6 linked regions of the Coturnix japonica genome follow. The main gene of each other region encodes a partner of the protein of the gene in region 5 in a complex. Links are inferred from orthologs where the notes say so. Each region holds a gene or a part of one and is shown on either strand. Other genes may lie near its edges.

Region 1 (4,297 bases), on a different chromosome or scaffold from region 5:
TTAATCCAGTTCTAAAAAGGGAGAAATTAGATTAAAGACAATAGGTCCCTCCCTCCCGTATGTACAGACGTCAAACTGTATTGCTTTCTCATCAGCAATCCCAGTTTTCCTGTCACACTTTGTTAAGCTTAGTAACTATCAGTACCCTCACAGTTTGGTCAAAGGCACCACAAACACACAGCCCCTTTTTGTCGGGGCTCCAGTCCAGGCTGGAAATGGGCTGTGTTGACAGAGTCACGTTCTGCAAGAGGCTGACAGAACCTGCCACCCCCATCTCAGCTCCTTCCGAGTCCTTCTTTGAGCGCTGAGCCGGGTACTCGCTGGCAGAAAGGAAAGGAAAACTGAGACAAACAGGAATCTCATCCTGCTCTTAAAAGACAGCACAGAAAGGTCTCCTCTGTTCTCAAGATAAGACAAATGTCTTCAAAATAGCGAGCCATCATATCCATCATATCTGAGCTTGGAAGTGAGTCCCCACGCACCATCTTTACAATGATTCTTTCTTTAAACAATAAACAGTTGTTTTGGTTCCTTATTCCCCTGTTATAGAGCAGACAGTGATCACTTACTATTTCCAGAGATGAAGGCTCCCAGCTCCTCCGCTCGTCATAAACACATCCCTGTTCTGCGGGAGGTGCCGAACCTGCCAGATGGTGGATTTGTGTGCCTAGGAAACAACCAGCATTGGACAAAAGTTCTGTACAAACTCCTGTACTACATGTTGCTAAAGGAATGATCCATCTCCCCATTACCTTCTCTGAAACAGAAGCAAAACCTTTAGTTGGGTGCTGAGTCCTCATATCGAAGACATGGAATTTTCCCTCCAGTGACGTGGCCACCAGCTTGTTCATGTTCACATCTTTCCTGTCAAACTCCACACTGCAAACCTGCAAAGAGTGAAACCAATACGTTCAGCCACTGCTACAAGCATATATTTGTGAGTGTGATTTGCAGACACGTATCTAATCATTGGTTATTCTTACAACAGCTTCACCAACTCGGCAATAACGCGATTGCCTGTAAACAGACACACACCACAGCTGGAATGAAGCCCTGCTTCCACAGCACCTTACCCCGTTCTTAATGTTGGTCTCCCATCGCAGTGACATGGCTTTTAAGTCAAACAACTTAATGTCCCCATTGTCGTATCCAGCACATACTACACGTTCCTCTTGATTGTAAGCATTGCCTGGACACAGAGACAGAATTGATCACAACACAGAAACCCCTCTTAGGCTGTAAATTTGAGACCTCTTAAGTCAGCAATTTCAACTTAGATTTATGCCAGCAAAGCATCATATAGTAGGATTTAATGAATTGAGAGCACAGAGTTTGGGATGGACATGGCCTGGGCTCAAGCATCCTGAATTCAAGAGCACAAGTTAAGCATCTCTGCTGTCTTTCGTTAGCTCTGGGGATTGTCTCTTACATTAATGTCTTAATGTCATCAGCAGATATTGGTTCTCCATGCACAATCACAGTTAGACCCCTCCAGGGCAAAGTGGTTTCTTTGCTTTTACATTCCTAGACATAGAAATGTTCAATTCCCACACTAGGGCTGTAAAAATGCCTAAGAATAAAGCTTGTCTGTGAAGTGATTGAGCAGAGATGGTAAGAAAACAATGCCTGAGCCAACTACCACCAAACGTGATGGAAAGACAGCCTTTAAAACACAGTGCAAAGACACAGATGTGATAACACCGAACAACAAACCCTGCCTTCAGTGGTTTGATTACTGTCAACACGCAGTGACATTACAGGGGGCTGTTATCAGACTGGTTACCAAAGGCCACCGTCCAGCAGTCCCTCTTGCTCTCTCCCTGCGCAGGTTCCATGTTGGCAACAGGAGTTTCCTTCTGCCGAGGGTCCCACACCTTCACAGTTCCTAAGGAAAGCAAAGCCATCAGTGTTACAGATGCACTGATGCACCACTCTTGGTTTCCCAGGGAAAGGCAGCCTGACGCCTCCAGACTATGTCAGTGTATAGGAAGAAATGAAACATAATACAAACAGAAAAGCACAGGGAAAGTATAAGATGTCTAGCTGCTATTTTGTATTTGTTCTGCTTTATGTTCCTCCTCTCCAGCTCCCAAAGGAAGCAGAGGAGGCTCATCCCAAAGGGCCGCCCTCCATTTCGGTGCCCACAGCCTGTAGTTCAGGGATGTCACTGAGCAGCTCAGCTCTCTCCCACTCACCATCCCGGCTGCCTGTCACAATTTCTGGGGCACCTTCCCCAATTCCGAGGCCTCCGACCCCATCGATGCAGTTAATGATTTCCTTGTGACCTTTCACGGAGTACACGGGGACTTCAGGAGCTTCTAAGTTCCTATGTGAGAAACAGATAACACAGCGTTGCCTTCAGTAGCCAGGAGCGCTGTAAGGAATCACACACCCACCAGATGCTGAGGCATCCCGCGAAGTCCCCTGTCGCCAGGTGCCGTTGCTGCAGGGAGGCTGCCCCGAAGGTGGCACATTTTATCGGTTTGGCCTTTTCGATCTGCAGATAAAGGACACGGTCGGCACCGTATGAAGCGTTAAACCCCTCGGCCTACGAGGTGCCGCCCCGCATCGCCCCGCTCACCTCGCTCAGCAGCAGCAGCCGCCCGGCTCGCAGCTCGTACAGCTGGATGAGGCCGGTGCCTCGCGGGGCGCTGCCGAGGCACAGCAGGCGGGCGCTGCGCGGCACCCACTTGCAGTCGAACACGGTGTAAGTCAGCGGCTGCTGCACGTGAACCACCACCTGCGGCCGGTCCAGCCCCGCCGCCGACATAACGAGCGACGGCAGCGACGCGGATAACGCAGGAAGCGGAAGGGACGGCGGGACGGGCAGGAAGTGGCGGTGGCTTTTCCGGCGGAGGGCCACGCTATGGAGTCTGAAGCGGATGAGAACGGGAGCGGCTTCACCAGCGTGGCTTCCAAGCGCGGCAGGAGGAAGCGGAGAGCGGCGGCTGCGGAGCCGATGGAGGCGGTGGATGCGGCGGGGCCGCAGCCCAGCAAGAGACCCGCCTTCCCACCGCTGCCCGCCGCGGCCATGGGGGTGAGCGCGGCGCCGAGGCGGAGGGATGGGGCGGACGGGCTGCACGTGTCCGCTCAGCGCCCATCTGTCCGCAGGTGGGGAAAGGGGAGGTGAGGAAGGTGCCGGTACCGGCCAACAGGTACACGCCGCTGAAGGAGAACTGGATGAAGATATTCACGCCCATCGTGGAGCACCTGCAGCTCCAGATCAGGTTTAACTTAAAGACCAGGAACGTGGAGATCAAGGTGAGCGCTGTGCTGTGTGTCCTCACGTTCCTCTCATCCCTCGTGTTTCATTGAAACCCGCCCAACCGGGCCTTGGGCACCTCCAAGGCACCCACAGCTCTCTGGGCAGCCTGTTGTCTTAAGCACAACATACACTACTGGTCTGCGCTTTCAGTAGAACACAATGCGGAGGTGGCATTACACGAACGTGGCTTTGGCTTTCTTTTATACAGCCAGCCTTTATCTCACTGACTTTCCAAGTCCTGATTCCGTTTGCCTGATAACATAGAAACGTATCTTCTCGTTCTGCAGACCTGTGCTGAGACCAAAGACCTCAGTGCTCTGACCAAAGCAGCTGACTTTGTCAAAGCCTTCATACTCGGCTTCCAGGTGGAGGTGAGTCTCCCAGCGGCCGGGTTGTGCTATTGCTCAATATCTTCAAGCACTCTGGACATGACATCAAGAAACAGAAAACTTCAGGGTGGTTTTCTTTAATGTTTGAAGTTAAAACTGATGTTTGATGCGTCAAATGGAGATACGTGACTGATTTGATCTGTTTGGGCCTGTAAAGAACTTGTGTGTGACAGTGCTGCAGTGCTCAGGCTGATGGTGACTCTGAATGTTGCAGGACGCTCTCGCTCTCATCAGATTAGATGATCTCTTCCTGGAATCATTTGAAGTTACGGATGGTGAGTAGTTTCTGCTGTGCTACTCAAGCAGCCATTCACTTCTGAGCACTTCTTTGCTCTTTCCTTCTTTTCCACGTGTGTCACTTTGGGGATCAGGAAAACCCCGATGCCAATACATGGCATAACTGTCTATGGGGAGAACCTGGAGCTGGACACAAGGAGAGCAGCATCTAAAACTGATGTGTTTCAACATGTGTTAATTGCTGCTTTTCCCTTTGTTTGAATAGAGGAAATGTCACGGAGGATACGCAGCACAGCGTAATTGATTGAGTACTTTGTTCTTGTTTTAGTCAAACCTTTGAAGGGAGATCACCTGTCCAGAGCAATAGGGAGAATAGCGGGGAAAGGTGGAAAAACCAAATTCACTA
Region 2 (4,163 bases), on a different chromosome or scaffold from region 5:
TGGTAACTAGACCAGAGACTACTGAAGGTTTTTCTTATGAAAATGAATGGAATACTTTTACTTGGTTGCAGAACTGAGAGACCTCTTCACCACCCCCAGATACTCAGATGAAGTCAGAGAGGAAACACGGCAGAGAAATCAGGGAAATTAACTGTTAATAAGTTCAGTTTTTCAGTTAGGTCATCTTTAGGCAATCCTTACACAAACAAGGGCCATTTTAACCGCATTTATCAGCTGTCAGCAGAGATCATAAAAGAGATTTTAACTACTTAGTGAGGTCGCGTTGCAAATTTACCCAATTTACGTTGACTTTGTAAAAGCACTCTAGAATTGAGGAAGATATTGAAGATATTATTTATTTTGCTGGCATGGAACTTCCTCTGTGCTCACTGGAACACTGAGCCAGGCTAATGCTGCCACTTGGGAACCCCTCGAGAAGGCTGCTTGCTCAGCAAGGTGGAATCACTAAAGTACAAGGGAAAGCATTTTGCTGTCTATAAGCATTTCTGCTAATGTAAGAAACTAAAAACAGATTTTCTTTCAGATTTCTGGAGTGTCACAGGTGGCATCAGGAGGTGGAACCTGGAGGACAAGAAGAGATCCTGGGGGAGGAGAGTAAGTAAAAATATCTGTGGGACACAAGCATTTATATCCAGAAAACCTTACTGACTCTACTAAGTGTGGGAGAGATTCCCCAGTTTAAGATCAGCATTGAAGAAAAGTTCACATCATGTTCTGGAAACCACCGTGACCACCAAGATTTTTCCTTTTCAGATCACTAGAAAAAACAATGTAAGTATCACATAAAAACGTTTCTGTTTTTCTGAAACTTACCAATTGCTCGTCTGAAGTTTTCCATCAGAACTTCTGTTTTCTTGATTTCAGTAGAATAGACCTCACTTCCAACCATAGGACAAAAGGGAACTTTACTGCCAAGTTCCTGAGCAATAGCTAAAGCCAAGGCAGTCTTTAAAAATGGAAAAAGAAATTAAGCATTTCATTTTTATGAGGATTCTTTCTGCACTAAGTTAACTTTCCTCATCGTATCACCTTCACTCTATCAACTACTACTACTATACTATAGTATTATATATATATATACATATATATACTATATTATAACTGCTCTGACATCTCTCACATATAACAAACATCTCCCACCAAAACAAATTAGACACGCATAAGGTGACTTCTACCAATGACTTATAAACACTGTAAAGGAATGATAGTGGACTTCTGAATTTAACATCTTATAGAAATGAGATGGAAAGGGAAAAACAACTAAAAAGAATAACTATTTAGGCTTTTAATATCGAATTAACTTATAAGACTAATCAGAAACTGTCCTGCCTCTGTGTTTGGCAACCTATATTAGGTGCTTTCGCACTAATGATGGCTGCACAAACCAGAGGATGCTGCCAGTGCTAATGACGTGGCAAAAATTAAACACAAAACAGGAGACTGTGTCAATACCTTAATGGAGGAAAAAAAACACAACAGCAGATGAAGACAATATATAACCGCTATTCTAAAATGCTTGTGGCAGCACGTTAAATTACAGCGGATTTCAGAAGGTTTTATTTCTTGCAAGAAAAGGAAAATAAAAATATCAGGATACCTTGCCAGTTCCAGGAGGTCCTGCCAACAGGACAGCTCTGCCAGCCATCTTCTTGCTTTTGATGAGCTCTACTATAACCCCACAAGCCTGCAGGATAAGGGTTGGCACCATTAACAAGAGTACTGTTAAAATACATTTAATTCCAGTGATACTAGAAGTGTTTAGAACTACTGATCTTCTGAGGTGCCAAAATTAAACTGCAGTTCAATGTTATACATAGGAGTGAGGTAAGAAAGAAATCACTTCCTGCAGTCCCTGTATCTGGCACATTAAAGAAATAAATCAAACAGAACTCAAACCAAAGAGCTGGGGATCTTTTTCCCCTTGCAGAGCTGCACGCAGGTATCAAAGCCTAAAAACAGAGCAAGAGGGGAGTAAACTCTTGGAAAGGGCTGATAATAGCAGGACACGGGGAAATGGTTTGAAGTTAAAAGAGGGAAGATTTAGGTTGGATGTTAGGGGGAAGTTCTTCACTAGGAGAGTTCAGGTTAGGGCCCTGCGAAACCAGGCTGCCCAGGGAGGTTGTGGACTGCCCCATACCTTGGAGGTGCTTGTCAAGTGACCCAGCGTTGCTGACGGCGGACCTGTTGCGGGGCAACCTGATCTAGTAAAGGTGATATATGATTTTGCGTGGCCCTTCCACGGCAGGGGGTTGAAACATGATCCTTGAGTCCAGTCCCTTCCAACCCGGGTCATTCTGTGACAAACCCCCACCCGGCCTGTCGCGAGCGGAGCAGGCGGACTTGGCTGGGCCCTGCACCACCTCACGGGCACCAATCTTTGAAGTGGAGCCTTAAAACCCTGTAGATCGTTTATCCGACAATCCAGCGAGTAGTAACGGGCGAATCTCACAGCCCGGGCCTGGCGCTCTATGATCGGCGGCCGTGCCAGCCCGCGAGCAGTGCGCCAGGTGCAGGGGCCCATCTCTCACCTCCCGCGCGTTCTCCTGTCCGCACCAGGCGCGGCGGCCCGCCGGTTTGGCGGAGTGCCGCCGTCTCGTCGCAGCCCCCGGAGGGCCCAGTTAACAGGCTGTTGTGCTGCGGATTGCCGCGGATGCGTCTGTCGCAGGTTGCTCGGTTCACCTCCTCGATCTTCATCGGCGCCACGGGTCTCCCTTCTCCCTCACGTCCACCCGCGCATCACGCGGCCCGCGCGTTACCAAGGCCTACGCCGGCGCGCGGCCTCCTCGGGCTCCCCCGCTCCCGCGCGTCTCGTCAATTGGCCCTGCGTCTGCCGCGCCTCGCGCGGCTGTTGTGATGGTGTCTGCGGTTAGGCGTGACCTGTTCACCGGACGAGCTGCAGCGGCGGGCCTGGCGATACATATTTGAGAGTGTGTGGGCCGTCTGTCGCCGCATTCCGTCGGCTGCGCTCTCGACTCAAAGCGGTCCGGCGTGCGGCGGCGAGGTGCGGGGGAGGGTGGGTGTGGGGAGATGGGCCGGGACCGAGCAGGGGCCGAGCCTTTGGGTGGGCTTTGCTGTCGTCCTGCCTTTACCAGTGTGTTAATTTAACCACTGCTGGTTAATTTTTAACCAGCAGTTATTTACGTTTTACGTGCCCACGGCAATATCTGAGCCTTTAACTTCGCCTTTTTTATAACAGTATAATATAGCGACGGACAGCTCCTCCCCACGTCGAGAGTACTGATAAACTGAGGGGGGAAAACAGTTGTTCGGGGGGTCGTGTCTCATCTCCACACCCTCAGAGCTCCCTCATGTAACAGATCTCCCACCACCATGGCTGTGGGCTCTGCTGTAGTGTTACTGCACCTCTTATGTGGTCCATCAGTGCTTGGGGTGGAAATGCTGTGAAATCTCAGAGGGCGTTTCAGAGCCTGGCTGCCATCCAGTGCGTTCTTCTCTGTTGGTAGATTCTGGGCGAGGAGATGACTCATGGAATTAGTTAAGGTTGGAAAGATTGCCATGAGTGTTTCATCGTAATATCCAACCACGGACCCATGGCACTATGGCCTGATTGCCACCATCCCTGCAGTTACCACATCTGGCGCACGGCGTTCTGGGTATGCGTCAATTCAGAATCGACAGAATGACGGCCGGGTTGGAGGGACCTCTAAGGATTCATTGTAGTTCCAACCCCCCTCGCCTGAGCTGAAGCGGCCACCAAATCTGATCACCAACGCGTTTACTAGGCGATCAGGTTGCCCAGGGCCCCGTCCAACCTGGTCTTGAACACCTCCAAGGACGGGGCATCCACAACCTCCCTGGGCAGCCTGTTCCAGGGCCGAACCACTCTCCTAGTAAAGAACTTCCCCCTAACATCCAATCTAAATCTTCCCTCTTTTAACTTAAAACCGTTTCCCCGTGTCCTGCTATTATCAGCCCTTTCGAAGAGTTTACTCCCCTCCTGGGAGTAAGTTCCCTTCAGGTATTGAAAGGCTGCAATGAGGTCACCCCGCAACCTTCTCTTCTCTAGGCTGAACAAACCCAACTCCCTCAGCCTGTCAAGGAACAGCCTCCAGGGATAGTGTCTGTACCTCTCCCTGGGCAGTGAGTGAGAAGAAATTTCTCCTTGTATCTACTCTGAAAGA
Region 3 (4,261 bases), on a different chromosome or scaffold from region 5:
ACTGAAGTCCACTTGGTATTTAACATGCAGTTGCCAGCTTTCCCACTGTACTACAACTTGGAAATCTTCAACAGCTACAGAGACAGCTTTTAAACAGTTGAACTATTACCTTTGGTGCAGCAAACTTACTTTTGCATTGAGACAGTGTTTCTGTTCGGTCTACAAGGAAGAATATGTTGCTATTGGGTTGCTGCCTATAAACTTTCTGTAAAATAAATACAACACCACATTAAGTAAAAGTAGCATACACAGGCAACCACACTGCAGCAGAAACTCACTGAAGTCCACTGAGATACCCTTCCCTTTTATGTCTGAAAGATACCTTCTCTGCCATGAGCAATGTCCTCATGTCGCACCAAAACATTTCAGGAACAACCCACAACCATTCTGCATTTTCCTCCTTTCCTCATACTTAAAGGGTCATATTTTGTTTTACATCATATGCACATGAAAAATAAAGAAGCTTTTAACATAAACTGATCCACTCAAACATCATAATATAAAAATTGTGCTAAAGTAAAACCTTGAGACAGCTTCCTGTTACAATGCACAAGTGTAAGTAAACCCTCAAGCGATGTAGACAACATTTTGACACCATACAGAAGATCATATACACATTAAAATCTTTAGTGTAACAACTAAAGATAATGTACTCACTGCAATTTTGTTTGCCCTCTTGCCTCTATACAAATTTATCTGATGCTAAAATGAAGTAAGCAGAAAAAACTTTAATGCTTACCCTGTTCTTCTTCAAATTCGAAAGCTCATCAACTACAACCTTCTGTTCCTTAATCTGAAAGAGAAAAAACACATCTCAATATAATTGTCAACAATAAACTACTGTGTTGCAGTCCTGGAGATTAAAATCTTTACCCATGTTTTTAAGACAGCTATAAAAATATAAGTCACTGTGCCCTGAACAGACCACTAAAATGAAAGTGGACACAGGAATGAAAAAGAAATTTCATTACCCATTATTCCAAGCATACAACAAGTCTTCGGACCACATAACTGAATTACATTTAACACACTTCTTATTGAAATCTAAGTTATGAATTCAACAATAAGACAATGAAGCACTCTAAATAACTGCTTTGGAAGGGAATTATCTTGCATGGTTGACACTGTTCCCATCCCCCCAAAGCAGTCATTACTGGGAAGCCAGAGTACTCCTCGCTGCTCAGAATCCAAAATCACTTCACCCTCAACCTCCCCCAAAAAAACAAACGTATAAACAACTATTAACATTTGTCAGCCTGGAGAAGAGGAGGCTCAGGGGAGACCTTATAGCTCTCTATAACTTCCTGAAGGGAGGTTGTAGTGAGCTGGGGGTTGGCCTCTTCTCTCATGTAAGAGATGACAGAACTAGAGGGAATGGTTTTAAGCTGTGCCAGGGGAGATTCAGGCTGAACATTAGGAAGTATTACTTCTCAGAAAGGGTAGTCAGGCATTGGAATGCACTGCCCAGGGAGGTGGTGGAGTCACCGACCATGGGAGTGTTCAAGAAACGTCTGGATGTTGTGTTGATGAATATGATTTAGCTGGGAAGTATTGGTAACGGTTGGACTAGATGATCTTCTAGGTCTTTTCCAACCTTGATAATTCTGTGATTACGCAACTTAGAGAAAAGATTTACCTACACAATACACTTTATAATCTTATTCTCCAGATTCAAAATGAAAACAGTAAATGAAACAATTAAAAACCTACATAACCAATAACCCCCCCCCCCCCCCCCAAATAAATAAATATGTATAAAACAACCCCAAAACTGTATTAAGATAATTAGAAACACTTCCAGTACACTGGACTTTTAGCACAAAGTTGTCATGCTGCATCTACCGCCATCAGTTCAGCTGCACTGACACAAACAGTCCAATGCTCCTGCTTCCCTGGACAACGTCAGCCACTAAAGACAAAGAGCCATTAAAGACAAAGAGCAATCAGGGCCCATCAAAAAAGCTGAAACACAAAGCTAAAGTGGTTCAACACACACTACTTTCTGTAAGCACAGAACACACCTTACTCCGGTCCTCCTTTCTGCCTCCTGGAATTGGCGCAGATGGAAATAACTACAGGGCTGTATAAGGCAAACTGAACTGAGAAAATGCTGTTTCACCAACAGCTACAACAGCATACTATGATAGTTATTGAAACAGACAAGAACACAGTGCAGTCTTGTGATGCAAAGCAGAACCAGGCATTTCAGCCACGCAGCTAATACGCTGTGTTGTGCTGATGCAGTTGCTCTCTTTAGTCTCTTATGTAACCAATCAACTAGAGAACAACACTAATCTATTGCGATATTAGTGTAGAAGAATAAAGTCACTTTTTATGCGAGGACAACTGACCAGGACTGTACAGAACTCACACTGAACAAAGACAAGACTGCCACTACGAAAAGCCCAGCTTTAAAGCTGGCCTCCTCACTAAACTCCCTCACGACTTGCTCAACAAACCCAGAGAACCACATTCTCCTTCGACTAATCACACACAGCCCATCTCACAACACTAAAAACGGGAAGGGAACTCGCCAGAAGGGCTCACAACACTCGAGCTCCCCCACACCTTCACCTGGGCCACAGCGCAGCTCAGCCTCCAGCACACCCTCCTCCTTCCCACACACAACTATGAGACGCAGGGCAGCACCTCAGACCCTCCATAACTCACCCTCCGGCTCAGCTCCTCCTTACGGCCCAGCTCGGCGCTCTCCTCCTCCTCCCGCCGCGACATCCCCAGCTCGCAGTGCCGGCCGCTGCCGTCGCACAGCAATATACGCACAACGGCTGCGCCTCACGCTGTGGGCTCCAAACAACTGCAGCGACTGCGCATGCGTACAGCAGAGCGGCTGTTAGGCGCGTATGGCTGAGGTGGAGTTATGGCCGTAGTGGCTGTGGAGCAATGAGACCATTTTCCTTCAGTACCGGCTGCCTTGTTGTCGGATCTTTGATAGTATTTTGATTCATGGAGACATTTCCCGTTAGTCCCCTGCTTGAGCTCTACTCATCTGTTGTGCTGTGTCCAGGTGTGGAGCCCTCAGTACAAAAAAGACATGGAGATTTTGGAAAGGGTCCAGAGGAGGGACAGGAAGATGATCAGGGGGCTGGAGCACCTCCCCTATGAGGACAGGCTGAGGGAGTTGGGTTTGTTCAGCCTGGAGAAGAGAAGGTTGCGGGGTGACCTCATTGCAGCCTTTCAGTACCTGAAGGGAACTTACTGCCAGGAGGGGAGTAAACTCTTCGAAAGGGCTGATAATAGCAGGACACGGGGAAATGGTTTTAAGTTAAAAGAGGGAAGATTTAGGTTGGATGTTAGGGGGAAGTTCTTCACTAGGAGAGTGGTTAGGCCCTGGAACAGGTTGCCCAGGGAGGTTGTGGATGCCCCGTCCTTGGAGGTGTTCAAGGCCAGGTTGGACGGGGCCCTGGGCAACCTGATCTAGTAAAGGTGTATGTTTGGTGGCCCTGCCAGGCAGGGGGGTTGGAACTACATGATCCTTGAGGTCCCTTCCAACCCGGGTCATTCTATGATTCTGTTGGAACCTTCATTATCTGTCTTGCTACATTAACCAAAGATGATAAGTGAATGCTTCATCCTTCTGTGCCATCTTCCAAGTAGTAGTAGTGCTTTAGCTTAGGATGCAAGTAGCAGTGTGTCTTCTTGGTGTGGAAACAGAATCAATGAGATGAGACGGCTCAACCTGGCTGTTCCAAAATACACTTAAACAGTAGGACTAAAAGAGTACGACACATCGTGTGAGACAGTGCTGACATTATGAGTAGAACAGAAATGCTGCACGTCCAGCCTGTGTAGCCCTCAGTGAAGGAAGGAGACTGCTGTAAATCCACTGTGTGGAAAGGCATGGAGAGCGTCTGGACGGGCTGATACACGGCAAGGTCCAACTTGCTATTTCTTCATGTGCAAGTGAAATTGGTAAGTGTACAGTAAGAGCTTGAGATGCTATGAAAGGTTGTAGCAGATGGAAGTGTAAGAGATATCTGACATAGGAAATGCCATATGGATGGTGTGGCAGGACTTAAGAATACAGAAGTGTCTTGTGTTCATAAAAATCTTTTATTTTTATTTTTATTTTTCCTGATTGTATTCTTTATAACCAAAAACCAGTTAGGTAAGTTCATTGTTCTGAACATGTATAAAGTAAAACTGTATAATCAGTGATAGTGAAGACCTGATTCTGACCTCAGTTCACACTTTGCTGACAGGAAAGAAGCTCCTAAATTAGTAGTGCTGGGGTTGCTGTAGT
Region 4 (3,276 bases), on a different chromosome or scaffold from region 5:
CTGTGCATCTCTAACTTAAGCCTGAAGTGGAGAGCAGATGAGCTACCTGGAGAGCCAGAGCTGATTTTATGACCTCTGCCAAAACTATTATGACTTAAATCAGTTATCCCATTGCTACAGGCCAAATCCAGCCTGTTCAAGCTGCAGTTTTTGCTAATATGTGTCCATTTTATTCTTTCATCCTGTTTTGAGAGCCTTATTTTTCTGTATTCTCTTGGCTCCCACCTTGACAGCAGCCTGTGTTTTCCCATTGAGACAAACACGCTGCTGCCTTCTGTTCCTCCCTACGCATCTCTCAGGAGATTCCTGACGTGTTTCAGATGCACGGGTTTCATTTCATTTTAATACCACAGGCACACACAGCTCTTCTATACTCTGGGCACGCTGTACATTTACAATTCCTCCTACTTCTGTTCCTGACACTGCAGTGAACTCGCTCTGCAGCCAAACTACAGAAGCTCTCACATAACAAACCCAACAACAAACACACACACACAGAGTTAGGAATGCCCCACAGTGCTGGTTTTAATAATCCCCCTTGCAGGCGGGTGTTTGTCAGAGGCTGTGAATAAGCCACTGTTCCAGCAGTTGCCTCAGCACTGCTCTGCCACCGGCAGCAAGGAGTGGGGAGAGTTTACAGCCAGAATTACAGCTGAGGAGCTGTATCCTTCCCTGTGCCCACCAGGTTCTTTAGGAGAGGCTCCAGCAATGCAGGAGAGCTGGAAATCCTACAGGCTGTGTCTGATGCAGTGCAAATGCTGTGAGTGATACCCGACCACCGCAGGCTGAGCAGTGCTTGCACACGGTTGTGGTGGTGGCAGGGCTGTCTCAACCTTCCAGGATGCGATTGATCAGTTTCATTTCCTCTGCACTCATGGGGTTCAGGTTAAATCCCTTCAGCTCAGGTTTACCTGTAGGGATGTGCAGAACGTTGGGGTTTTGCTATAAGACACATGAAGCATTCCATGTGAAACCACGCAGCAATGATGGCTCTCAGCATCGTGAAGGTTGGAAAAGAGCCCTGAGATCATGAAACCCAACCCTGCCCACATCCCTCAGTGCCACATCCCTGCGGTGCTGGGATGCCTGCAGGGATGGTGATGGAGAACCAATTGTTCCTACTATCCACCCTGGTCGTTGCTGTGTGTATCCAGCACGCTGCTGGCTGACAGCTTTACCAGGGTAGGGAGGGAATGACAGAGTGAGAGGAGGAGCAGCCCCGGCAGCACTCACACATTGACTTCTCCCCAGCATCTGCAGCCAGACCTTTGCTGTTGGGGTTCAAGACCAGGAGTGTTTTACCTTGAGCTTCAAAGAGACGGTTGACCTTCACACGCAGCTCTTTCCGGAGGTTGTTTATCTCCTCATCCAGCTGTTCCTGATCTGAAAATAGCAGGGCAAGAATAAGGGGGGTTAACCCATGACATGGGGACTGGGGTTGAACAAGGGACCAACAGAGACCCTGCCGGGCTGTGTGAGCAGGGCAGGATGGCAGCATTGCTCTGTTTTAGCTCCGAGCTCCTCGGGGTGAGCAGATCCCTCCGTACCGCTCTGCAGCATCTCCTTGGCCTTGGCCTTGTGCAGCTCGATGAAGGTGCTCCCGAAGCACACCATGGCTTTCCCTGCAGTGAGGACCAGCCGTGCTCAGCGCTGTGCCCCGCACACACCGCCCCGATCCCGGCCGAGCTCCGGGACTCACCGTCCGGCTCCGGGTCTTTAAGCAGCGCCCGCAGCGCCTCGCGGTTCCGGTTCCGCTTCACGTCCAGATCGACGATCTGCAAAGAGACGGGAGGGGATGGGGATAAAGGGGGGGGTCGGGGGTTGTCGGGCCGAACCGGGTCGGGTCTCACCTGCTGCCGTGCGGCCAGCACGTCCTCGGCCAGCTCCTCCACCTCGGCCAGGTAGCGCAGCACAAACGCTGGGTCCCGCGCCATGTCGGGCCGCTCCGCCCCGTCCCATCCCCGCTCCCCGCCGGGCGGCAGCAGCGGCCGCGATCCGGAGTTCCGCGTAGAGCGCCCCCGTGTGGACACTGCGGGAATTGCAGTGTCAATTGCTGACAATAGCAGGACACGGGGAAATGGTTTTGAGTTAAAAGAGGGAAGATTTAGGTTGGATGTTAGGGGGAAGTTCTTCACTAGGAGAGTGGTTAGGGCCTGGAACAGGCTGCCCAGGGAGGTTGTGGATGCCCCGTCCTTGGAGGTGTTCAAGGCCAGGTTGGACGGGGCCATGGGCAACCTGATGTAGTAAAGGTGTATGTTTGGTGGCCCTGCCAGGCAGGGGGGTTGGAACTACATGATCCTTGAGGTCCCTTCCAACCCGGCTCATTCTGTGGTTCTGTATGTGAATCGGCCGGGCAGTGCTGTGGGGCGGCTCTGAAACACGGGGTGAGATTTCAGGGCTCCCCTGGTGGAGCTGAGGGTTGGGTTCAGTCATTGCTTCCATCCTGGGGTGTTCTGTGGTTCTGTGGCTGCCAGGAGCGAAGCTCTTGGTGCGCAAATAATCCCCAGAGGAAGATTAAGCAGATCGGAAGATTACCGGCCTTAATCTCGTAAAGTCGTTTGTGACAGTTAACGGGAGAGATCTCGGTCTGTGGCAGAGTGTGCTGAAAGAAGAAGGTGCCCAGTGAAGTGGTGGAAATGAGCACTGCCCGTCTGCATCCAACCCCGTCCTAGCGGGGACTTGGAGCTCGATGATCCTTGAGGTCCCTTCCACCTCGAGCCATCACATTCTACGTGATAGCAGTAGCAGAGAGAAGCCTGATGTCCACCCCTGAAGCAGGCAGTGCTACTCAGCAGCTCACAGCAAAATAAAGGCTGTGGGTTTACCGTGGCCACACAGAGGGTTGCATGAGAGCTGCAGCTGAGCTGTGGCAGGAGGCATCACAAAGCTTTGGGCACCTGGAAAACATTCCCAAGGCAACGATGGCTGCTGGTGCCATGCTCTGCAGGCCTCTCCCACAGCAGGCCCTGAGCCAGATGCAAATCATCACAGCCTTCCTTCTCCTGGACCCGGCGCCGTAGGAAAGCTGCTTGCCTGGAAGCTGGACTCAGCCTGAAGGCTGGAGGCTCGTTCAGATTGATTGCATGTTTATGTGCCCTCCTGGGAACCTGTCTGTGCAGACAGAGCATGTGGTCATCCACTCGCTGCTATGGGATGGTTTGCATCTGTCTGTATTTTGTGGCGTAAAGGGAAGGTCTGGGTTTCAGCACGTTCCTTTTTCTTTCTTCCTTGAATCACTTTCATTTATGCAGCTCAGAACCCTCCCTGCCTGCCTGC
Region 5 (4,039 bases):
TGCCGGGGGTCATCCTCGCCCACCAGGCGGATGTTGTGCTTCTCACGGAACTCGTTCAGCTCGCGGCCTTTGCTCTGCAGCTGCTGGCTCAACGACTCGATGATTTTGCTGATCTGGGAGGAGAGAGAGGAGGGGCTTTAGGGGCTTTATGGGAGGGAGCGGAGGGGTCTGTGGGTGCCGGGGGGGTTTGGAGTTACCTGCTCTCGGTTGCCCTCGAGTGCGGGCAGCACCTCCTTGACAGTGCGCTCCACCAGGATGCCCCCCACCATGCGGTAACACTTCCGTGTGGGATCCACCTCCCGCAGCGTCTCAATCACGAGGCTGTTGGGGGGGGGGGGGTCCGTCAGCCCCCGTCAACCCTGCAGCGCTCCCAGCGTTCAACCAGATCCCTCGTTTCATCACAGCGTCGCTCCCACCACTCCTCATATGTTTCCTCCTCCATCCAGGGAGGCCCCCCCCCCCATGCAAGCCCCGCCACACCCCAGTGTCAGCTCCTATCCTCCAACCAATACGCCCTCCACATCCTCCCCAAGTCACCCCCCCATACTCGATGACCCCCCCCCACATCCTCACTGTCCCCCCTCATATCCCCAACGTGCCCCGACACATCAGTGTCTCCTCATCCTGGTGTCCCTCACACACCCAGTGACACCCCAGCGTCCCCCCCCCCCCGTACTGTCCCCCCCCACCTTCCACACACCCATTTCCATCCCCCCACATCCCCCCCCCTTACAACGTCCCTCACACACCCATCCCACTGACACCCACACCCCCGCTGGTTCCCCCTATCCCAATGCCTCCCCCATTCACTGTTACCACCCCCCCTCCATATCCCTTTGCCAACCCCCATCTTTCTCCCAGCCCACGCCCTTACACCCCCATTACCCTCCCATTCCCTTCAGTATCCCCCCAAACCCATTCTGCTGCCCACCCCTCCTTGGTACCCAATGTCCTCCGTGCCCCCCCCCATTCCCTTGCTTGCCCCTATTCCATAAACGTCCCCCGTTTTTTTTTCCCCCCCTTTTTTTTTCCCCCCTCACCCATTTGCCCAGGTGCCCCCAACCACTGCTTACCCATATCCCCGTACCCCCAACATGTCCCCATACCCCCCCATGTCCCCACAACTGGGCCCCATTGTCCCCACACCCCATGTCCCCCACTCCACTGTCCCCACACCCCCCCCCATATCCCCGTACCCCTCATGTCCCCGGCTACCCCACCCAAAGACCCCATGTCCCCATACCCCCCCCCGTTCCCCATACCCCCCCATTGTCCCCACACCCCCCCCCCAATATCCCCGTACCCCCCCCATTGCCCCCCTAACCCCAAGTCCCCACACCCCCCATATCCCATACCCCCCATGTCCCCACAATCCCCCCAAGCTCCCGCTTACCCCCCATATCCCATACCGCGCGCCATGTCCCCACACACACCCCATGTCCCCAATGCCCTCCCATGTCCCCACACCCCTACTATTCCCCGCATGACCTCCTCCCATGTCTCATAATGCCAACATCCCCCACGCACCCCCCATTCTTGTTATACTTCTCCCATGTTCCCCGTACCCCCCATATCCCCATACCCCCCACGTCCCCACACCCCCATGTCCCCGTACCCCCCCCCATATCCCTGTAGCCTCCCATGTCCCCATACCCCCCCATATCCCTGTAGCCTCCCATGTCCCACACCCCCCATGACCCCAAATACCCTCCCCTAGTTGTTCCCCCCACACCCCCATGACCCATAACCCCCCTACTGGCCCCATGTCACCATAACCCATATCCCCGTACACCCCCCTCCCATGTCCCCATTAACCCCTCCCATGTCCCCATACACCCCCATATCACCGTTACTCCCCCCAATGTCCCCACACCCCCATGGACCCCATGTCTCCATACCCCCCCCCATATTCCATTACCCATGTAAACCCCTACCCCCATATCTCCACACCCCCATCCCCACATGCCTCCATGTCCCCACACCTCCCCATAGCCCCATACCCCCCATGTCCCTGTACCCCCCTCATATCCCCACACCCCCCCCATATCCCCACACCCTCCCCATGTCTCCCATTACACCCCCATACACATGTACCTCCCTCATGTCCCACACCCCCCCATGACCCCATGTCCCCATACCCCCCATATTTCCCTACCCCCATGTTCCCCCTTATAGCCCCCCATGTCCCCAGTCTCCATACCCCATATCCCATACCCCCCACGCCCCCCCATATCCCATACACCCCCATATCCCCGTACCGCCCCCATGACCCCCAACCCCCCATATCTCCACACCCCCCCAATATTCCCCCACCACGCCTCCCATGTCCCCACACCCCCCCCCCATATCCCGTACCCCCCCCATGCCCCTACACCCCTCCCGCGTGTCCCCACGCCCCCCCTATATCCACCACCCCATATTCCCCACACCCCATATCCCCACAACCCCCCCATAATCCCATAACCCCACATTCCCATCCCCCTAACCCCAGCCCCACCCCCCCCCCCCCCGTCCCGTTACCCCCCGATGTCCCCCCCACCCGTGTTCGTTGAGCTCCAGCTCAGCTCCGCCGCCTGTTGGGACGCCAGGCCGCCGCTGTTCCTGTCGTAAACCGGTTTGAACGAGCCAACCACCTGCTCAAACAACCACACAACCACAACCACCGGGGATGTCACCGCTGGGATCCCGGGATCGTCCCTCTGTCCGTCCCCAAACCCCGCCCCGCCACCTGTTCCGCCGTCCAGCGCCTTCCCGCCCGGCCCCGCTGCTCCGGGCCGCCCCTTTCGCGCTGTTCCGCCATTTTCCCCCTCCACCGTTTTTGCGTCTCTTCCGGCGCACACCGGAAACTGGGCAGCCTCTCTTCCGGCGCAGAGCGACAGCGAGTAAAGCTCTTCCGGTGTATACAGGAAACACCATGGAAGCCATCTTGGTTATGGCTCAAAACCCGGCAGCGGTGGCTATATGGTGAGGTAGTGCCGGCCGCCATCTTGTTGTGGCAGGGACTTTGCCCATTGACCCCTCATCTGTCACGCCTCCCGCCTCGGTGCGGGGCCGCGAGAACGATATTGTACGGGCCGGGGGGGGATACAGGGTTCTGGAGAAATCCTGTGGGCAATGGGAAGAGAGAATCAAAGTGGGCATTTAAGGGCAGTTGGAAGGTTATCATAATAGGGGGGTGATTTGAAGGTTGTTGGGGTTCTATGGGGTGTTTGAAGGGTGTTGGGGGTTCTATGGGGTTGTTTGAAGGGTGTTTAGGGGCGATGGCGAAGCAGTATGGGGGCGTTCATAGGGCAATGTGTGGCCAGTATGAGAGGGTTTAAGGGCAATGTCGGGGCAGTTATGGGAGGAGTTTGTAGCGGCAATCGTGAGGGTCATGTATATGGGGGTTCTATGCGGGCAATGTGGGGCAGTATGGAGGGTTCTATGGGCAATGTGGGGCAGTATGGAGGGTTCTAAAGGGCCAATAGTGGGGCCAGATATGGACGGGCATTAGGGCAATGGGGGCAGAAATGGAGGGTTTCTAAGGGAAGTGGGGCAGTATGGAGGGTTCTAAGGGCATGTGGGGCAGTATGGAGGGTTGTAAGGGCAATGTGGGGCAGTATGGAGGGTTCTAAGGGCAATGTGGGGCAGTATGGAGGTCTAAGGCAATGTGAGCAGGAATGGAGGCGGTTCTAAGGGGCAATGTGGGGCGGTATGAGGGTTCTAAGGGGCAATTGTGAGGGCAGTCACTGCTAGGTCTGTCAAGGGCAATGTGGGGCAGAATGAGAGGCGTTGTCAAGGGCCAATGTGGGGCACGAATGGGAGTGTTCTAAGGCAGGATGTGAGGCGCAGAATGAGGGTTCTAAGGGCAATGTGGGGCGAGGAATTGGAGGGTTCTAGAGTGGGCAATTGTGGGGCAGAATGGGATGAGTTTTGCTAAGAGGGCAATTGTTGGGGGCAGAATGGAGGGTTCTAAGGGCCAATGTGGGGCAGAAATGGAGGGCGTTTTCTAAGGGCAAGAGCCTGTGAAGAAGCAGTATGGAGGGTTTCTGAGGGCAAT
Region 6 (4,157 bases), on a different chromosome or scaffold from region 5:
CTTCCCTGTGTCATTCAGTTGCTTCGAGGTGTTTTCATGGCGTTCCTGATTGAAGCAGAAGGATTTGCAGCAAAATCCGTGCTGGGAAATGAGGAACTGGGACAAGGAAAACAACTGCAGGGGGGCAGCAGGGACAGAGAACTTCCTCAGCCATCGAATGCAGACAGCTGAGAGCTGGTGGTGGGTGGGAAGATCAGATGTCACAGAATTCTTTCACAACTGGAAGAAATAAGTCAGGACGTGAATGAGCTCATGTCTCCCTCAGCAGCTGCTCTCAAAGCAAAGCCCTGCTGCTGCTCTGAACATTGAGATGTGCCTTCAGCTGTGATACTGAGGCACCAAACCCTAGTATAGCTTTGCTCTGATCCATCCCATACAGTTCCCTTCGCAAATCAGGAGGGAATCCTTTCCCAGAGCCAACTCACTTCAAGTCACCCCTAGAAAACCACAGCATAAGTTTAAAGCACTGCCCGTAGATGGGGATCTCACACATTACCTGAGAGCTCTGATCACTGCACCAGCCTGTAGGTGATGTAACGGCCTGCGGTCTCACTCGGTCTTATGATCTTCACCACCTGGAAGGGCAGCAAAAGGAGCAATGGGGGATGGCTGGTGTTACAGCAGCTGGTTCAGCAGGAAGCCAAGCCTGGCCCCAGGGCTATCTGCTGCCTTGCACACATCTCTACATAACCCATAACGTTCAGAAACAAAAACACTAACAAAGAGGAAACCTTTCCCATCTCCAAGCTCTGACACACTGTGCTGCAGCTCCCCATCCTGCCTGCAGGGCCCTGCTGTTTGTTATCAGGCTATTTGCTCTTACCTGGCCTCGCTTTATCCCGAAGTATCGGGCCACAGGATCCCCAGCCTGGATCCTGGGGAGTTGGTTCTCCCTCAGCTTACTGCATGGAGTCAAGGAGGAGCTCTGTGTCTGCTTGTCCTGAGGCAGGGCACAGCTAACAGAACATCACACACTCAAAGGAATCCATTTCTTGCCCAAGACAAGCACTCATCACACCCTGACTGCAAGGGAAGGACCAAACAAAGGATACTATCTGGCCAGCAGCTCGGTTACTTCTTCTTTTGTCATGACAACGTGCTCTGGGACCAGCTGTAAACAGGAGAGAGAAAGAGAGATCATAAGAGTCTGAGAAAGCAACCAGCTCTGCATAGCTGCAAGACTTGGGGGGAGGAACAAAGCTCTGGTGGGGAAACCCAGCACAGGGCAGGGCTGGGAGGGCCGGCCTGAATCACTCACCTCGTGTTCTGTGATGTTGATCAGGAGCTCCTGCTGTAAGAACTGCTCCAGGATGTATTTGGGAGCCATATCGACCAAGGACTGGGAAGGGAGAAGCACATCAGGTTGTAGCACTGATATGAGACAGTGTGAGCTCAGAGATGCCCCAAGATGAACAGCAGCAGGAGGGCAACACGGTGTCTGTGCTCACATTGATATGGTCATATGGGCAGAGAGGAAACAGATCTCTGTGCCCAACCAGCACCAGCTCAGTGCACTCAATGTATAAGCCCAGTATTAAGGCACAGAGCCTGAACTCTGCCTTTATGGACCCAGCACAGCTCAAAGAGCCCCGGGGCCACATCACACTGTACCTGCTTTGCCGATGGGGTCATTCCCTGCTGCACCACGATCAGAGCCCGCGTGATGTTCTCCTCCTGCATGCGCTGGCAATACATCTTGATGGTTTTAATGCCGACTTTGGGTTCCTCTGAGGGAGGAAAAGAGCAGGGTGAGATTGAACCAGGAGCACCACCAGACCCCAACCTGACCCCAGCCCAGTTCTAACCTGGTCCCAGCCCAGTACTAACCCGGTCCCAGCTCGGTTCTAAGCCAGTCCCAGCCCAGTCCCAACCCAGTTCTAACCCGGTTCCAGCCCGGTCCTAACCCGGTCCCAGCCCGGTTCTAAGCTGGTCCCAACCTGGTCCAAACCTGGTCCCAGCCCGGTTCTAACCCAGTCCCAACCCGGTTCTAACCCGGTCCCAGCCCGGTCCTAACCTGGTTCTAACCCAGTTCTAACCCGGTCCCAGCCCGGTTCTAACCCGGTCCCTACCTGGTCCTAACGCGGTCCCAGCCCAGTTCTAACCCAGTCCTAACCCGGTCCCAACCTCGTTCTGACCCGGTCCCAGCCCGGTTCTAACCCAATTCTAACCTGATCCTAACCCGGTTCCAACCTGGTTCTAAGCCGGTCCCAGCCCAGTCCCAACCCAGTTCTAACCTGGTTCCAGCCCGGTTCTAAGCTGGTCCCAACCTGGTCCAAACCCGGTCCCAGCCCGGTTCTAACCCAGACCCAGCCCAGTCCCAACCCGGTCCTAACCTGGTCCTAACCCAGTTCTAACCCAGTCCCAACCCGGTCCCAGCCCGTTTCTGACCCGGTTCCGACCCGGCCCCGTTTCTCACCGGGGAAGAACACGAACATCTGGTCCGTGGGATCATCGTTATGTGCCACCAACACGGTCAGGTCCGTTCGGCGCGGGCGGCCTTCGCTGGGTTTATCCCCGAACTGAGCTTTAAACTCCTCCAACGTCTGATCCAACTCGTCCTGAGTCACCAGGTAACCGCGGTCATGGCACAGCTAAAGGGAAATACAACATATGAGACCTGAAACCGGACCGAATCGAACCGAACCGAACCGGGCCGGCCCGCACCTGCATGATGGTCTTGCGGATCTTCCACAGCCGGTACGTCTCCTCCTCGTCGTCCATGTTGCCTCCTGAAGGACCCCACGAGGCTGCCCGCCTCAATGCCTGTCCACAACGAGCAGGCGGGGCTGCCCTGCGAGGGGTCCTTGACCGCGGGGAACGCTGGGAGATGTAGGCGGGGTGGAATGGCGGAAGGACACCACCCCCTTGTTGACACTGCAGCAGCCTCGCTGATTTGATTGGTGGTTTCGCCTGTCTATCACCCAAGGGAGCGGCTCGCATTGCGCAACTGCAAGAAGTGGGCGGTGCCTTCGCGCGTCCTAATCGCTGATTGGTCAAAGGGGGGGAGAGCGGTGGCGGGATGGGGTGGGGGTGGCGTTGCGGGCGGGCGCTGCTGTGCGGGGCGGCGGCGGCGAGAGGAGCGGGGCGGACAATGGTGAGTGGGGGGGGACAGAACAGAACCGAACCGAACCGAACCGGGTCGGTACTGGGGGGGTTGGGGGGGTTCGGAGCCGCTTTGTGACCGCTGGGCCCCGCAGTGCGCGCAGGCGGATGAATGGCGATCGGCCACCTCCATCTATGACTTCCACGCCACGGATATCGACGGCCGAGACGTGGCCTTGGAGCAATACAGGTCTATTAGATATATATATTATATAGACATTATATAGACATTATAGAGACATTATATGTACCATACAGCAACACAGCAATGGGCTGTATTATATACCCCCCCCCCCATTTTACCCCCGCAGAGGTTCCTTTTACCCCCTATTTTACCCCATTTTACCCCATTTTTACCCCCTATTTCACCCCTTTTACCCCCTATTTTACCCCATATTACCCCATATTTTACCCCATATTACCCCTTTTACCCCCACAGAGGTTCCTTTTACCCCCTATTTCACCCCCTTTACCCCCTATTTTCCCCATATTACCCCCACAGAGATTCCTTTTACCCCATTTACCCCCACAGAGGTTCCTTTTACCCCCTATTCTACCCCATTTACCCCCACAGAGGTTTCTTTTACCCCCTATTTTACCCCATTTACCCCCACAGAGGTTCCTTTTACCCCCTATTTTACCCCATTTACCCCCACAGAGGTTCCTTTTACCCCCTATTTTACCCCTCCAGGGGTTTCGTCTGCATCATCACCAACGTGGCTTCCAAATGAGGAAAGACTGCAGTGAATTACACTCAGCTTGTCGACCTGCACGCACGATACGCTGAGAAAGGGCTGCGCATATTGGCCTTCCCATGTAACCAGTTTGGGAAGCAGGTGGGCACCTCAATGCAAAGATATGGGGTTGTGTGGGGTTTACACGTGTGATACCTGTTTTTCCCCCCCCCCAGGAGCCTGGGGATGATGCACAGATCAAAGCCTTTGCGGAGGGTTACGGGGTGAAGTTCGATATGTTCAGTAAAATTGAGGTCAATGGGGACGGCGCCCACCCGCTGTGGAAGTGGATGAAGGAGCAGCCCAAAGGCCGGGGAACGT

What was found.
Region 1: PFDN2 (region 5) and WDR92 share a complex: the UniProt entries of both Homo sapiens proteins name them as parts of the PAQosome complex. The link is inferred for Coturnix japonica from reciprocal best matches to the Homo sapiens genes PFDN2 and DNAAF10.
Region 2: PFDN2 (region 5) and RUVBL1 share a complex: the UniProt entries of both Homo sapiens proteins name them as parts of the PAQosome complex. The link is inferred for Coturnix japonica from reciprocal best matches to the Homo sapiens genes PFDN2 and RUVBL1.
Region 3: PFDN2 (region 5) and ASDURF share a complex: the UniProt entries of both Homo sapiens proteins name them as parts of the PAQosome complex. The link is inferred for Coturnix japonica from reciprocal best matches to the Homo sapiens genes PFDN2 and ASDURF.
Region 4: PFDN2 (region 5) and PDRG1 share a complex: the UniProt entries of both Homo sapiens proteins name them as parts of the PAQosome complex. The link is inferred for Coturnix japonica from reciprocal best matches to the Homo sapiens genes PFDN2 and PDRG1.
Region 6: PFDN2 (region 5) and POLR2E share a complex: the UniProt entries of both Homo sapiens proteins name them as parts of the PAQosome complex. The link is inferred for Coturnix japonica from reciprocal best matches to the Homo sapiens genes PFDN2 and POLR2E.

What each region holds. Positions count from the first base shown.
Region 1 is NC_029518.1:372,912-377,208, reverse strand, and holds the start of WDR92 (WD repeat-containing protein 92), read right to left. Parts: upstream 2,801-4,297; 5' UTR 2,771-2,800; coding exon 2,582-2,770; intron 2,498-2,581; coding exon 2,397-2,497; intron 2,327-2,396; coding exon 2,196-2,326; intron 1,886-2,195; coding exon 1,784-1,885; intron 1,190-1,783; coding exon 1,074-1,189; intron 888-1,073; coding exon 753-887; intron 668-752; coding exon 570-667; intron 321-569; coding exon 113-320; 3' UTR 1-112. Other genes in the region: RNA-binding protein PNO1, read left to right, coding at 2,867-3,037, 3,112-3,261, 3,553-3,636, 3,869-3,929, 4,220-4,297. UniProt on the Homo sapiens protein: Key assembly factor specifically required for the stability of axonemal dynein heavy chains in cytoplasm.
Region 2 is NC_029527.1:7,146,614-7,150,776, reverse strand, and holds the start of RUVBL1 (ruvB-like 1), read right to left. Parts: upstream 2,801-4,163; 5' UTR 2,550-2,800; intron 1,706-2,549; 5' UTR 1,667-1,705; coding exon 1,619-1,666; intron 968-1,618; coding exon 835-967; intron 1-834. UniProt on the Homo sapiens protein: Possesses single-stranded DNA-stimulated ATPase and ATP-dependent DNA helicase (3' to 5') activity; hexamerization is thought to be critical for ATP hydrolysis and adjacent subunits in the ring-like structure contribute to the ATPase activity.
Region 3 is NC_029522.1:4,422,936-4,427,196, forward strand, and holds the start of ASDURF (ASNSD1 upstream open reading frame protein), read right to left. Parts: upstream 2,801-4,261; 5' UTR 2,734-2,800; coding exon 2,671-2,733; intron 794-2,670; coding exon 740-793; intron 206-739; coding exon 130-205; intron 1-129.
Region 4 is NC_029535.1:8,958,246-8,961,521, reverse strand, and holds PDRG1 (p53 and DNA damage-regulated protein 1), read right to left. Parts: upstream 2,009-3,276; 5' UTR 1,935-2,008; coding exon 1,851-1,934; intron 1,776-1,850; coding exon 1,700-1,775; intron 1,623-1,699; coding exon 1,548-1,622; intron 1,384-1,547; coding exon 1,303-1,383; intron 912-1,302; coding exon 829-911; 3' UTR 501-828; downstream 1-500. UniProt on the Homo sapiens protein: May play a role in chaperone-mediated protein folding.
Region 5 is NC_029540.1:2,483,396-2,487,434, reverse strand, and holds the start of PFDN2 (prefoldin subunit 2), read right to left. Parts: upstream 2,801-4,039; coding exon 2,729-2,800; intron 2,602-2,728; coding exon 2,540-2,601; intron 322-2,539; coding exon 198-321; intron 114-197; coding exon 1-113. UniProt on the Homo sapiens protein: Binds specifically to cytosolic chaperonin (c-CPN) and transfers target proteins to it. Binds to nascent polypeptide chain and promotes folding in an environment in which there are many competing pathways for nonnative proteins.
Region 6 is NC_029543.1:2,009,030-2,013,186, forward strand, and holds the start of POLR2E (DNA-directed RNA polymerases I, II, and III subunit RPABC1), read right to left. Parts: upstream 2,801-4,157; 5' UTR 2,722-2,800; coding exon 2,665-2,721; intron 2,592-2,664; coding exon 2,417-2,591; intron 1,728-2,416; coding exon 1,612-1,727; intron 1,340-1,611; coding exon 1,259-1,339; intron 1,112-1,258; coding exon 1,053-1,111; intron 903-1,052; coding exon 824-902; exon of another isoform or gene 576-823; coding exon 510-575; 3' UTR 497-509; intron 220-496; 3' UTR 1-219. UniProt on the Homo sapiens protein: DNA-dependent RNA polymerase catalyzes the transcription of DNA into RNA using the four ribonucleoside triphosphates as substrates.